Mytilus edulis: one gene and its partner. The main gene of each other region encodes a partner of the protein of the gene in region 2 in a complex. Links are inferred from orthologs where the notes say so. Each region holds a gene or a part of one and is shown on either strand. Other genes may lie near its edges.

Region 1 (8,118 bases), on a different chromosome or scaffold from region 2:
AATTCCCGCACCCGTAGGTGTCCTTCAGCTGGCCCCTAAAATATGCATAATAGTACAGTGATAATGGATGTTCCAGACCATATGAGTATTTGAACAGTAAACTGAAATTGAAGATATCTGAAGTAAACATAATATGGGAGGACAGCTGTTTTAGAATGTTTAGCAGCTTAATTTACACAAAAATGCAAATGTAAAGAAACATGAATGAACTGCAAACATGTGCATTTTTAAATGTAATTTTTTTTTATGTTACTTGATGTAGGATTCAGATATACAATTAAACATTCATTTTCAATTGTTTGTTTGTTCAGTTTATCCATCTAATTGTAATAATAACTATTTGTAAAACTAAAAATAAAGATTGTGATAAATTGTTTAAACATAACTCATATGATCCAATCACATGTATGGTCAGCTTGTACTGGACCATATACCAGGGGTTAAGAAATTTTGTTATAGCTTACTAGCCCAGGGCTAATTGGTTGCAAGATTTTACTAGCCATGTTGGAAGAACTACTAGCCCAACAAAACTGACCTGCTAGCCCTAGTATGCCTTACAAATTCAAAGTTTGCTGCAATAACAATGAATTCTATAAACTTAACAGTTTTTATCCATTCACAGCATTGTACAGTAGATTTTTCAAAATTGGATATTCAAAACTTATATCAGCAAAAAATATTCCATTACCATATATATACATATACTCAATCAATCGATAAATGAATATTCACTGAAAATTCTGATAAAATGAGTTGACCAAATCCGGGGATGATACAAGTCTTGACCACTGCTATACGTGGGTATGTCAAAGGATTAGAGGGGGTTTTATCAGATACAATATCATCATCACGTTTGTGTAAAAGAATTATCAGCACATGTTTCAAATTTATATCTGATAAAAGTCAGGTTTCTGCTGTCAAAAGGGATTCACATTTATATTGCAATAAATTAATCAAAAGGAGGTAAAATTAGGTTGCATAAGCAATGTACAATACCACCCCCTGTACTGACACATGGATACGGAAAGTACAAGATCCACCATGTCCACCCCGAGTTATTTGTTCTATTTTAAAACTTGTACAAAATCAGTTCAAATTCTGGGAATCCCGGATGACGTAGTTGAATCTGATTGGATAAGATAGAAAAGTGATCAGGGAATTTTCCCCTTTCAATTTTAGAAACGCCAAGAATTTTTTGTTACGAGTCCGTCTGGCATTTTGGGTTGCAAGTCTTGGTTGCCCGAGGTCTAAATGTTGTAGTCCCGGGCGTCGGGCTAGTGGATTTATTAACCCCTGTATACTCATGAATATGGACGTATGAGTAGCCTTACCGGACGCAATTACGACTGGACACAATTACGAACGATTTTTAATGTTTGCCCCCTTATATAATATTCATGCATGATAATTAATAAATGTTTCTATTAATTAAAAACCCACTACATTACTTGTGTTTTCACGAAAAAAAAGTTCATGTGCACTTTGTTAATGTTGCAGACGACGAAAAATTAAGTTTCGTAAATGTCAAAATAATGACTCCTACTCTTGGAAATTACATGAATAAAGCACACAAGCTAGGGCAGATTGCCTTCTTTTGTCATTATATAGATAGAAAAATATCTCCTGAATCTGTTCATATGCGTGATACCCTTTATCTTGGCCAAATAATCCAAAAATGAACGTTTTCTCAGACTCGGTTGACCCTGAGCATTGTCAGACTGTCAGAAGAAAAAAGTATTTTTATTGAAAAGTCCCAAGAACTCCGAAAGTAAAGGTTAAATATAAATTAAAATCATAGGTTCACTAACTAAAAAGACAATTCAGTGCTTCTGAGGTGAAAGAACTTGCATAAAAACAAAAAATCTGAATTATTTCCTTTTCAAAGAAATTTTTTTGTCACTAATTTCGTCTTCAACTACTGCTGAAGAATTTGAAGTAAAATACCATATTACACTTCTTATTTTCTTAGGAAATGTGTTTAAGATAAGATTAATGTATGTTTCATAAATTTAGATTGTTGTCATTGATTTGTTCTGCCAGATATATAAATATAGTGCCGTTTGTAATTGCGTCCATATTGGGCTTGCTTGACCCATAAAACCAGGTCATGAAAATCTTACCAAAGTATCCAAACGTAAATAGAAAATTATGTGTGTTATGATTCAAAATGAAAAGCATTCATACATCTTTAATTCTATGGTACAAACAATTCAAGAAAAGTATTCTACAAAGAAAAAAAATAATTAAAGTTCAAAAATCGTTCGTAATTGTGTCCAGTGAGGCTATAGGTATACGGTCAAGAACGTAAGCGTAGTCCAAATACTCATATGGTCTGGAACATATACATGTATATATAAATCTACTGTTAATGAAATATCTGAAGTATTCTAAAAGTGTACAGTCTTCATTCATATGGGGACGAAGTCCCCAATTACAGTAGAAAATTCAATAAAAAAAAAAAATTCGGGAAAATTTCCCGAATTTTCCATTGTACTAATGAACTCAAAATCGTTCAATTTTTTTTATGTCATGTTTTGAAATCCCGGACCTGCGCAGAAATGTACAATATACTTCCTTTTTCCGGTCTCGTTTGTATGAAACTTTGAGTAAAATATATATTTATCAGTCTAGTAAAAATAGGAAGAAACGCGCAATACCAATTTCATTTTTAATAATTCCTTGATATGAAAAAACGTTACCTAATGATAGCGTTTCTTTGTTTACATTGCATATGACGTCATAATTTAAATAACGTCACAACTAAAATCCCTAACAACAGAACCAAAATCGGAAACGTTACGGTATTTCCATTTCTTTTTTTTTTGACAAATAATTAAGTTACAAAAAAATAATTCATACAGACTTCGTCCCCATTTACAGGTAATGCCTGCCTCATATTACATGTCATATTACATCATGCAACATGCATAGTCATAGATCTTTTGATTTTGAATAAGCCAAATGAATTGATTTGATTTATCACTTTTTTTATTTGATTTGTCCAACAACCGCTTCACTGAAATCTATGGGCTTCCGCGCTTCATACAAAATGTACTTCAGTCAACGCTTTAACACCCCAATAAAGTTACAAAAAGAAGCATTCAATTCTTAAATACAGAACTGGTAAAATTTTTGCTGTAATTTGCAATATGTCTCGTCTGACAGTTGGAATCTGTCACTCCACTCCTTCATTCTCCGTAAAATGTCGTTCTTTATATAGACCAAGAAAAAAAATAACGATTTAGTTACCTGTCTTCTATAATTTAGATTAAATATATACAAAGTCAAATTCTGCCTGATGAAATAAACGAGTAAACACTGAACAGTTTTTAAACGTTGAATACCGAAAAATAGTTAATATTCATACATGCAACGTACGTTTATAATTATAAGAAATGTAAATCAATGAACTTGTTAGATCTAAGAACTGCCGTTATGTTTTGTATAACAGGGAAGTCATAGTGGGGAATTTTATTAATCATCTTTTACAATTTACTGCTTGAGTGCTTGTATCATTCTATAAGTTATAAATATGTTATTTTATTTACTCCTCAGGCACGTTCTCGCTTGGACGTAACAAGTGAATTATTAAAACTCGCCCCAGTTGTGGATCGTCCCAAATTTCTTGTACTGCCATATCGACCCAATTCATCTCAATCTCACATGAAAAATGAAATCCAAGCAACTGCCAAATAGCCCACTAGTTAAATTAGGGAATTTTAATTAAGGATATGAAACGCCGCACGATACTATTATATGTCTCTGGTCTAATCCTTTATATAGCATATACACAAAATTTTGATCATCCCAACACCAAAATGTAGATTATATCATCCTTCGTTCAGAGTTTGGTGGTCAAACCACGTTGCCGGAAAGTCGGACATTCATATTGTTAATTGACATTTATATTCTGTATTTTGCGCTTTTTTGTTCCGATATTTAAATTATATAATTATAGGGAAGCCCTATCATTATATTTTGTATTTAGATACTTCGTTTTGCGTTCGCCTAGAACAATACTGTTTGTGTACAAAAAAATAGGGAAGCCCTATTTTTCATTTACACCGCTTGTGCTATAGTCTATTAAATTAATATACAGTCGTAGTAACAATCATTATATATATGTCTGTGAGGAAGATAATTAAAGAGAGAAAAAAGATATACCAAAGGGTTAGGGGAGCACACCTGGGAAGAGACACTATCTTGTTCACGGACAGCAAAGGGGTGGGTCTAAAAGAATATATCCCAGAATCAATTGGGCAGAAATTTAAAGTGTTGTATAAGAGAGGAGGATCGATCGACAACAAAAAACACATTAAATCACTCATAGACACGGTGAAAGACTTGGATCATCAAATAATACTGATCTGGCTAGGTACATGTGAAATTACACAGAAGAAAAACAAAACCATCCAGTTTAGAAAATCACCGTATCAAAATATAGAAGAAACTTTAACACAATATAGGGATCTCAAACAACAAATCATAACAACAAACCATCTGCCACAGTGCTTTTTATAGAGTGTCCATACTATTCGATCACAAGGGTCAATAAACCTAAAGATTCAATTAACTTAATTGTGAATAGTAAAAAAAGACATATCCGTCACTCCTGGTAAATAAAGCCACCAAAGGTCACAGAAAAGTCCAATTGGCAACAAACATAGACAAAGAACTAAGTGAACAGATTGACTACTTTAACGATCACCTAAAATTGATCAACCGCCTTTATTCTACACCAAGAATTTCTCAGGATTTTATCCTTTCAAACAAGACAAAAAGAGACACGAAAGTTAAATATAGAAAGAATTTCAACCTAACATCGGACGGAGTACATCCCATAAGAGCTGTAAATAAATTGTGGATGCTGAAATTCATAGATTTAGCACTTGAACTGTCAGAGCAAGGATGTTAAATAAATAGCCAGCAAAATAGACAATAAAAACAAAAAAAATAGTTAAATAAGGAAGCCTTGTTTAACATACTAGATCCGAAATAATTAATCTGCGAAATATAATTAAGGAAGCCTTAATTATAAAGAAAAGAGGAAAATCAACAACATCACTCAACCAATAAAAAGAATAGGGAAGCCCTATTATATCATAGAATAAAAAGTTAATTAAAAAGTGAATAAAAATATTAGAAAAATAGGGAAGCCCTGTTTTTCTAGGAATTAACAACATAAAAGACCATACAGAGATAGCTAGCAAAACTAAGTATAGAACAAGTAAGAATAATTTACAGGGGGCCTAGAAATAGATGGAGAAGCTCTATCTAGCATTAACATACTTCATACTTATTTAGTTCGAATAGGGAAGCCCTATTCGTCCTGATAAATAGAAAGGAGATTACAACTTAACGATCAATTCTATTAGGGAAGCCCTAATATTGGACATAGGAAAGAGCGGAATAAAGGGACAACAAGCTTAGAAAAAAAATTATAGAGAGAGAAGCTCTATCTAATATCAGGAAAATAAATAATATTATCTAGAGAAATTTTATTTAAGGGAAGCCCTAAATTTTAAAATACTAGATAAAAATATTAATAACTCATTTCTTACTTTAACAATAGAGAAGCTCTATTATATGAAATAAAAAAAAAAAAATAATTTATTTTCATTTAGGGAAGCCCTATATAAAAATAAATAAATTAACTATAGTAGTAGATATGGCAACAAGAAGGAATAAATCTACTTCAAATGTAACAAGCGATCAAAAAAAGGAAGACCCATGGGAATGCAAAATATGCCAAAAGATATATAAAAATGAAGACGCTAAACTCCTTGAATGTCAAAGATGTAAAGAGCATTTTTGCATAAAATGCTTAAATAAATCAAAAACTGAATAGGAAATATTAAGCAACTCAGACACAATGTGGTTCTGCGCCCCATTTAGACAAGTAGTTGAAGAACACATAGTTACTGATCTGAAAATCGAAGAGAGATGCCGAGAGATCATGGACAACTATGAGCAAAGAATAAATGATATAGAAATCACAATAGAAAAGAAATGTGATAAAGAAGAAGTAAGAGATATAGTTAGCCAGGAGATTATAAAACACAAATGTGACGAGGAAAGAATAAGAGAAATAGCTAAAGAAGAAGCATTAAATGGAGGGGCAGTAGCTAATGTTGTATCCGAGGATATTGAAGGTGGAGTGCTACCAAATCAAGGAACAGTAACCACAGTACTAGAGGAAATAAATGAGAGAAAAACAAGGGAAAATAATCTGATCATATTTGGGATAACAGAAAATGAGTCGGAAAATAAACAAGAGAGAATAGAACATGATGTAGAGAATATAGTCCAACTCTTTAAAGATGCCAAGATAACATTGGATATTGAAAACATCAGAAAAACACAAAGACTAGGGAAATATGATAAAGAAAAAACAAATAGACCTCTATTAGTCCATTTGAAGAGCATAGACTCAAAACTAACCCTATTTAGAAACATGCATTATATTAGATCATATCCCAAATACCAAAAAGTAAATGTAAGCAATGACCTAACTAAAAGTGAGAGAGAAGAAGAAAAGAGACTGTGGGCTGAGGCAAAAAAACTTCAAGAAAACAACTCGGGGGACTTCCTGTTCAAAGTGCGGGGACCGCCATGGGCGAGGAAAGTAGTAAAAATAAAAAGGTGAAAAGAGAGACAAAAAATGTAAATATAAATGTACAAAAGAAGGGAAAGGTTTTTAACGGCAATGTAAATAACTTTACAGTTCTACCAAAATTGAACTGTTTTTATACTAATGCGGATCAGCTATTCAACAAAATGTCAGAATTGATCGTTCGTACAAGAGACAACAAACCAAATATCATTGGTATAACAGAAGTAAAACCGAAAGCTAATAGATATAAACCATCAACAGCGGAATATTCAATACCAGAGGTAGGAAATTACAAAATGTTTGAGAAAAACATAAAGTCAGATGAAGGAAGAGGCCTTTTAATGTATGTAGACTAATGTCAGAGGCAACAGATATGGGGTACTCACACATACTCATTATGGGAGATTTTAATTATCCTGAAATAAACTGGGAAACATGGAACACAAAGGGGGATAGACCAAACAGCACTGAAAATAATTTTCTGGAAGCACTACAAGATAATTTTCTGTACCAACATACAACAAAACCAACACGATGGAGAGGAGCTGACACACCCCATACACTTGATTTACTAATCACAAATGAAGAAGAGATGATTTCAAACCTAGAATATATGAGCCCGCTTGGAAAAAGTGACCACTGCGTCCTATCCTTTGATTTTAACTGTTATGTAAATATAAAAAGAGCACCGAAAATAGCTAATCTGTACAATCATGGAAATTACAAAGAATTTATTCAAGAGCTGAATAAAATAGATTGGCAAAATAAGCTAAATGCGGAAAATTCCATTGATAAAAATAGGAATTATTTTTTAACCATTTTAAAAGAATTAGAGAGCAGATTTGTACCAACAAAAACTATGACACAAATAGGAAAAAAGAGAAATGTATTCCCAATAGATAAAAAGACGAGAGAGTTAATTAGAAGGAAAAATATTCTATCCAAAAAAATTATAACTAAACAAGATCCAGATACAATAAAGTCAGAAACCAGGCCAAAACATCAGTCAATAAACAAAAGAAATTATTCGATAAAGGATTATCTGAAAATGCCAAAAGAAACCCAAAGGCTATATGGAGCTATATAAAATCCAAATCAAAGACCAGGGAAGGTATAGGGGACCTACATGTAGATACAGAAGATGTAAAATCCGAAAAAACAGATGACAATAAACAAAAGGCTGAGATACTATCAGAATATTTTACAAGCGTATTCAAAAATGAACCACAAGGCAATATTCCAGAGCCTAAGCATATTCCATTAGATAAAAAAAATAGAGGAACTAAATATTGACACTGATTTGGTTTTGAAACACCTACAGAAAATAAAAACGGATAAATCACCCGGCCCTGATAATTTACACCCAAGACTGCTGTTTGAAGTCAAAGAAGGTATAGCTGAACCACTTGGCATCATTTTTAGCCAATCTTTAACACAAAAAGTAGTTCCAAAGGATTGGAAAAGCGCCCTAGTGAGTGCAATATTCAAAAAAGGGAATAAATCAC
Region 2 (7,832 bases):
TTTTTTGTTTGTTATTTGTCTTAAAATTGATACGAGACGACAGCGTAAAGTTCTCCTTCGTGACTTCATGAATACCTGTAAACAATTTCCATGTGCTTTATCATTAAATGGTCACATGAACGCTTGACGGGAAGCTAAGAAAAACCGAACTTGAAATGCGTAATTGACCCAGACTTTAAATCATTTCCGGAAAGGACCGAAAGTTCCGGATCGCGTCAATAGAGGTATTAAAAAAAAAATCTTCAAATTTAAAGCAATAAAATTTTCACGGTCGGGAGGATTTTCAAGGGTCGGTTGGTAAACTGCAAACAAACAATATTTTAATTTAAGCCTGAACGTACAAGAAGTCTGCATGTTGAGCTATATGTGTTCTCACTGTTCTGACTGAAAATACCTGATATGTGTTCTAACTGAATATACCTGATATGTGTTCTGATCTGATCAGCTAGATGACAACAGAAGACAAAGATTTCTTGGATTCCTCCGGCTGCCAGAAATTCCAAGGTATAATCCAACATAGGGACATTAACCACAGGAAGTAATGTCTGCAACAATCAAAATAAAATACATAAAATTCCTTAAAGATTATTGTTGATCTTCTAAATGTCTAACATGGATTTGAAATTAGCAGGGGCCCACTCGGCAATGGCCCCTAAAATTTGGTGTGGGCTACTATAATGTTTGCTTTTCTTGTATAGAACTATATATTTTGGGTACACAATTTGAGATGTGGGCTACTATGCCAAAAAGCAATCCAGTTCAGATGACCAACATGACCAATGATAATCTATTTATCGTTATTTTACCTATGACAATGTTTTAAATTTCATGTCAATTTCATTGACAATATGCCACGTTCCACCTTAGTTTCTAGAAATAAATTTTCAATTAATATTGCTTACAAATTTTACTGTTAAGTTTTTATTCACGTGTGCACTCAAATTTTAAAAGCATGTTCTGTCAAATGTGTTTAGGTATCTAGATTTTTTAGTCAAGGTTTACTATGATTTTTTACTGTTTTTAATTTTTTTGTGATATATGTCATATGTTTTTGTGATATATGTCATATGTTCATGATGTTTTTGTGATATATGTCATAATGTTTTGTGATATATGTCATATGTTTTGTGATATATATGTCATATGTTTTTGTATGAAGTAAAACCTGGATCAGTATACTGGTATACCGACAGGACATGACTATTAAATCCTAAAATAAGTATTTTCTATAGTTGTGGTTCTGGTAATTGCTAGAATTATAATTACATGTTATTTGATACAAGTTTTACAGTACTTAAACTAACCAGTAAAAAAGTTTTTGGTTGATGTTTCATATAGATGATGAAATTGTAACATTGTGATTTTTTTTTCATTTTTCAGATTGGCACTGGGTGTCTACAAAAGACATTATTTTTGGTTAAATAAAAATGGCTTATCCTACAGGTCAGTTTTCTTAAATTTGTTTTAACGTCTTATAAAGCGACTTTTAATACATATCAAATTTGTGAAGTTGTAATGTTGTTGTATCAAATATAGAAACCAAAAAACACATTACCAGCGTGTTCAATCGACACCGATGAAAAATGGATGATATGAACGGTACCTCGAATGATGGAATAACACTGTCAATATCTGAATAACACTTGAAATGACCGAATAAAACTTGAAAATTTAATATTTGCACATATTGGTGACTTTAAAACATTATTAACTAATAGTATATAATTGATGTACAAATGTATTCCATGTATACTACATGTTCTACGACTTATGAATGATTTAATTACAGAAAGTAGATTAACGTTCATTAAAAACTTTTTAAATTTAGTGTGTACATCCAATACGGGACCACGGAAATCACAATGGCTGTCATGTTCGATGTACACATTCAATTTAAAATGATCTTTATGAACTTATATCTGCTTATCTAAATCATTTTTAAGTTGTAAGTTACATCGATAATATACTATTATGAAACAATCAACATGATCAATGTTTAAAGTCACCAATATGAACTGATATTACAATTTCAAGTGTTATTCAGTCATTACAAGTGTTATTCCGATAATAACAGAGTCATTCTGTCATTCATGTTACCCTGATATGAAAACATGACACATGACGATATCAAATTGACATATTATCATGATTATGCCATGGCTGTGAGTAGTCTAAATAATTATGATGTCTGGCAAGGCTATTTTATTTTTTTCTGGGACGCCTTCCTACAATCTGACAATAGCCTTGCCAGACGTCATAATTATAACGGACAGAAAGTCACAGGACAAAAAGTCACAGGACATAAAGTCAGAAATTTGATAGGACAAAAAGTCACAAATAATTTGTTGACAAATGTTTGAATATAGAAGAGAATATCTTGAAATGTTCACTTTTTATACATATATTCATATTAAAGTTTAGGAAATTTATCATTTTACTTGAAAAATGAAGATTTATTTAATTCTAATCATGCAAAGGATATATTTCTTGGCACCATGAAGCATTTAAGTGCTTATCTACTTTGACATTTTGTTTTCTTAACAATTATTTGATCATTTTTGATATTTTTTTTGATAAATTTTGCTTACAAAGTTTGTTAATATACAATACTTCAAGAATAATACAAAAATGTTTTTGTAAAAATAAGCATTTTTTATTCAAAGAAAATAATCAGAAAAAATGAATTGTGACTTTTTGTCCTGTGACTTTTAAGTTTTTGTCCTGTGACTTTCTGTCCTACAATGTACATTCATAATTATTTGGACTAGGCTGTGTGCTGTCATAAAACTAGTCATAGAGATCTTTCCATGGACATTTCTTAAAATAAGGGAACTATACATTGTATACTTTTTACATGAAGCAAATTAATATTTACAATTTTTTACAATCTATGAACATGACGAATACAAGGATAAAACTATAAAAGATGATGAGCAAATTAAAGAAAAAAGTTGCATCATGCTGTGAACAAGTGAATGGCAGTTGCAGTACAAATTTGAATTTTACTCTGGGTTTCTTTTCTGTAATTGGTGCAAAGCGAACATTGAAAGTATCTGCAATGACAACAGCTTGTAGAATATCTTCTTGTTTTATGTCGGCTCCACGTTGTTTGCCTTTTCCAGACATTTTGCAATGTTTTGATTTTTATTGAACTTCCGGTACTTCCGGTTTGTGGAATCGCCAACTCGACAACGAACGACTTTCCTACCTGTTTAGACCCTCTTAGAAGTCGCTTTGGGTAAGAAAAATTACACGACATTATAAGTTTGTCGAGAATCATTTTATATTCGTCTGTAATCCAAACTCACTGTTCTCCGCACCTATTGCAATCTAAACTACACTACGCCTATGGACGCGAATGAAGTCGAAATCTCATGAGATAGGGCTCTGTTTACAAAAGAATCATACAGCTCGATTACGTGATTACTTAGTTCATATAGTAGATAGTTAATCATAAGTGGTGAGCTCATGACAAACTTCTTGGCTCAGTCTGACAGTCTTCACGCTGAACTGCTAAATCTACAGGCCTGCAGCTCAATTTTTGAAAATATTTAGTTAGATTCTGTTGGCCTGTAGGTCTGATTTTTACAGGCCCGAGAGCAATTTTACCAGCCTGGGCTGCCACTCGTCGTGAAGACTGCTCAGTCTGTTGAAGGGCTACCTTTTATAAATAGGGTAGGAATTCCTTTTCAGTTGGGCGATCGATCATGTTCATGATGTTGCCTTTTGTTGGGCAAATTCTAGTTTCTTCAGCACCTGGTCAAATACACCTAATCGCTTATTCCCGGCTGACCAGAGAATCTGTCCCGCTTGAACTATTGATGTCATACAACAATCCGATTTTCATTTGTAGTATTTCATATATAACCCAACTTAAAATAAATTTCCTATTTCAATGTATTTGTATTATGACGGTATTGTGTACGTTCACCCTAATGACATGTTTGCCTTATGTCCATTCGCCCTGAGTTCATTTGCCCATAGAGTCCGTTCGCCCTACTTAAAAATATTAATATTCAGGGCATTCAGTGATTAAAGTTGAATAAACTTATTCAGATATTTCTATGGTATATATATTCTTATATTTAACAGTTTATGGCTTGTTTATGATCATTAGGATCATTAATTGTTCAATGACAAAATAATTCCGATCACTGATTTTTGTGAAACTTGTCGTTTGAAGGATTATAATAATCATGATAATAAACAATGTCAATGATAAAAACAAACAGCTTGAAATAAATAAAAACATTCATTGGTGTACGAACTGTAAATCATGAAACAGATTTTCAAGTTCATTTATTATAATACTCTCAGTGGGACTAGTCTCAGTTGAAATGCATACATTTGTGATTTACAGCTGAATACAATTATTTTGTTAACAAATATCAATAAAGATAAATTTATACATTGTATTCCAAGTATTCTACTCTGCAAATCAAAGGGAGAATGATACATTGATTGCAGCAATTTAAATATTCTGTCAATTTTCAACAAACTTTAACATATTTTGTTAAAATACTTAAAATTATGCGACTAGACCATGTATCTAACAATTAGAAAAAAATAAAAATCTAACAGGTATCGGGGCGAACAGGTACTAGGGCGAATGGACCCAGATTCTATTATGACGTCAAAATTTTTACGGAAACGTGTGATGTCCAGTAATGTCGACAAATAGAGATAAGGTGTATTGGAGACTACTAGTCAAATCAGATCCTGGTTCATTTATCACCCATCATGCCCATGGTAAATGTATTCATTTTTAAACTACATGTATAACCTTATTGCTATTTTTCCACAATAACTGGTGAGGGCAACATGGGCAAAGATAATCTGATTCCTGGAAAATTTCGACATCACAATTCAACGTATAGCTGTAGCTGGAATAAGCGATATGTATGATTCAAACATTCATTTAAAGCAAACATAATGTTGTTAAGAACTTTTGTAGTTTTAAAGCTTATATTGTAATATCTTGAGTTTGTAATGTAGTATGATTAACACCCCCATTGTATAAAATATGTGTCTTTATATTTGTTTTATTGTTTATTTTTTGTATTTGTGTTTTGTAAATGTCTGCTGGTATCATTCCTGTATTGGAATTGACACCAATAGAATTATTTGATTTGATTTGATTGAAAAGGCACTCTTTGACATATTCCCAATTTCCATTCTCAAATTGATATATACATCATTTACATGATATATACATGTACTAGAAAGTCAAACATTGTTAACTTATAATGACGCTGTAATTACATGTCACAATGTCATAATACTGGAAATTATATTACCAAGGAAGTTATCATTCCCATGCATTTACCTCTTACATGTATTAAAAGGAACATCTACATCTACCATGTCTACAACCCTTCCTATTTTTTTAAGGTGTATTTTACAAGCAAAGTTTATGTTGTATAAATAAAGCTTTCAATTAAAGACTATCAACATGATATCAATGAATAGTAAAGAAGGAGAGACATTTCAGCGTGTGCACTCTTGTTGAGTATAAGCACAAGTCTGTGGATTCTCTTGAAATTGAACCACAAGGATCTATATAAAAACTGGAAAGTTGAGAATGATTTTGGGGGTTATTGCTCTGTCAGTTTCGGAGAAAGGAGCCAAAACATTTTTTTTTTTTTCATGTTTGAATAGATAGCGTATTCTTGAATTCTTGGGATTTCTTAAATATGCTGAATCCAACCTTGTATGTCATGTATGTAATGAATGTGAAATATGGATTTTGGGCTTCATTTTTAAATTGGTCCTCATTTATAGGTCAAAATGATAAAAATGAAATTTGTTTAATTTCTACAAAATTTAAATCTTGGGGTTCTTTTATTTGATACTCTGAATATACATATATGACTGTGAAGTTTAGATTTTAAAATTCAGAATAGCAGATCATAATCATGATAATAGATAATTATAAAGACCAATTACACATTTTTAGCTCACTTGGCTCGAAGGGCTAAGTGAGCTTTTCTCATCACTTGGCGTCCATCGTCCGTTGTGGTAGTTTTAACATTTTGAACTTCTTCTAGAGAACCACTAAATGGAACAAAACCAAACATGGCATGAATGTTCCTTATGGAGTGCTGACCAAGTGTTGTTACTTTGTACCCGATCCATTATCCAAGATTGTTGCCAGGGAGGACTTAGTTTAACATGGGACCCTATGGGTAATACATACAAATGTCTTCTTTTAGAGAACCACTGAATGGATTGAAAGCAAACATAGCATGAATGCTCCTTATGAGATGCTGACCAAGTGTTGTTACTTTGTAGCTGATCCATCATCCAAGATGGCCACCAGGGGGACTTAGTTTAACATGGGACCCTATAGGAAATACTTACAAATGTCTTCTTTTAGAGAACCATGGAATAGAATGAAACCAAACATAGCATGAATGTTCCTTATGAGGTGCTGACCAAGTGTTATTACTTTGTAAGCGATCCATCATCAAAGATGGCCGCCAGCGGGGGGACTCTGTTAAACACAGTACCCCTACTACCCCATGGGAAATACATACAAATGTCTTCTTTTAGAAAAGCACTAAATGGAATGAAATCAAACATGGCATGAATGTTCCTTATGAGGTGCTGACCAAGTGTTGTTACATAGTACCCGATCCATTATCCAAGATGGCAGCCAGATAATGGTACCCTATAGGAAATACATACAAATGTCTTCTTTAAGAGAACTACTGAATGAAATGAAACCAAACATAAGAATATTAAACCAAATTCGGCCTATAACATCATTATAAATATCTGTTACAATTGTCATGATTGTGATAGCAATCAGTCAAAGCAAATTGTTAGGCAATTCTTATCTTTATATCTGTTGTATGTATTATGTATTGCTTATTTCTGCTGCATATATGTATAGTAGTGTATAACATCTACTTCTTCTTCTGTATACCATATGCATAGTATTAGTGTATAAAGTCTACATCTTCTTCTGTGTACCATAGTCTATCTACAGAATTTTTTCAGAAAAAAGAATTTTTAGACAAAGGCAGGCTGAGTGTAAAAACAATAGTTTTTATACGACCGCAAAATTTGAAAATTTTTTCGTCGTATATTGCTATCACGTTGGCGTCGGCGTCGTCGTCGTCGTTGTCCGGCGTCCGAATACTTTTAGTTTTCGCACTCTAACTTTAGTAAAAGTGAATGGAAATCTATGAAATTTTAAAAAAAGGTTTATGACCACAAAAGGAAGGTTGGTATTGATTTTGGGAGTTTTGGTCCCAACATTTTAGGAATTAGGGGCCAAAAAGGGCCCAAATAAGCATTTTCTTGGTTTTCGCACTATAACTTTAGTTTAAGTTAATAGAAATCTATGAAATTTTGACACAAGGTTTATGACCACAAAAGAACGATTGGGATTGATTTTGGGAGTTTAGGTTTCAACAGTTTAGAAATTAGGGGCCAAAAAAGGGCCCAAATAAGCATTATTCTTGGTTTTCGCACAATAACTTTAGTTTAAGTAAATAGAAATCAATGAAATTTAAACACAATGTTAATGACTACAAAAGGAAGGTTGGTATTGATTTTGGGAGTTTAGGTCCCAACAGTTTAGGAATTAGGGGCCAAAAAGGGACCCAAATAAGCATTTTTCTTGGTTTACCAACCATAACGTTAGTATAAGTAAATAGAAATCTATGAAATTTAAACACAAGGTTTATGACCATAAAAGGAAGGTTGGTATTGATTTTGGGAGTTTTGGTCCCAACAGAATAAGGGGCCCAAAGGGTCCAAAATTAAACTTTGTTTGATTTCATCAAAATTGAATAATTGGGGTTCTTTGATATGCCGAATCTAAC

Evidence for each region.
Region 1: the proteins of translation initiation factor eIF2B subunit epsilon-like (region 2) and translation initiation factor eIF2B subunit delta-like are in contact, whole or in part, in a cryo-EM structure (PDB 7D46), measured with the Homo sapiens proteins. The link is inferred for Mytilus edulis from reciprocal best matches to the Homo sapiens genes EIF2B5 and EIF2B4. Residues at the interface, in NP_003898.2 of Homo sapiens: Arg163, Lys294, Arg339, His340, Glu357; in NP_001029288.1 of Homo sapiens: Arg357, Tyr393, Pro396, Glu397, Lys466, Arg467, Glu469.

The regions. Positions count from the first base shown.
Region 1 is NC_092355.1:77,291,763-77,299,880, reverse strand, and holds the start of translation initiation factor eIF2B subunit delta-like, read right to left. Parts: upstream 3,385-8,118; 5' UTR 3,281-3,384; exon of another isoform or gene 3,250-3,280; intron 1-3,249. UniProt on the Homo sapiens protein: Acts as a component of the translation initiation factor 2B (eIF2B) complex, which catalyzes the exchange of GDP for GTP on eukaryotic initiation factor 2 (eIF2) gamma subunit.
Region 2 is NC_092351.1:90,196,738-90,204,569, forward strand, and holds the start of translation initiation factor eIF2B subunit epsilon-like, read right to left. Parts: upstream 3,142-7,832; 5' UTR 3,127-3,141; coding exon 3,007-3,126; intron 546-3,006; coding exon 421-545; intron 1-420. UniProt on the Homo sapiens protein: Acts as a component of the translation initiation factor 2B (eIF2B) complex, which catalyzes the exchange of GDP for GTP on eukaryotic initiation factor 2 (eIF2) gamma subunit.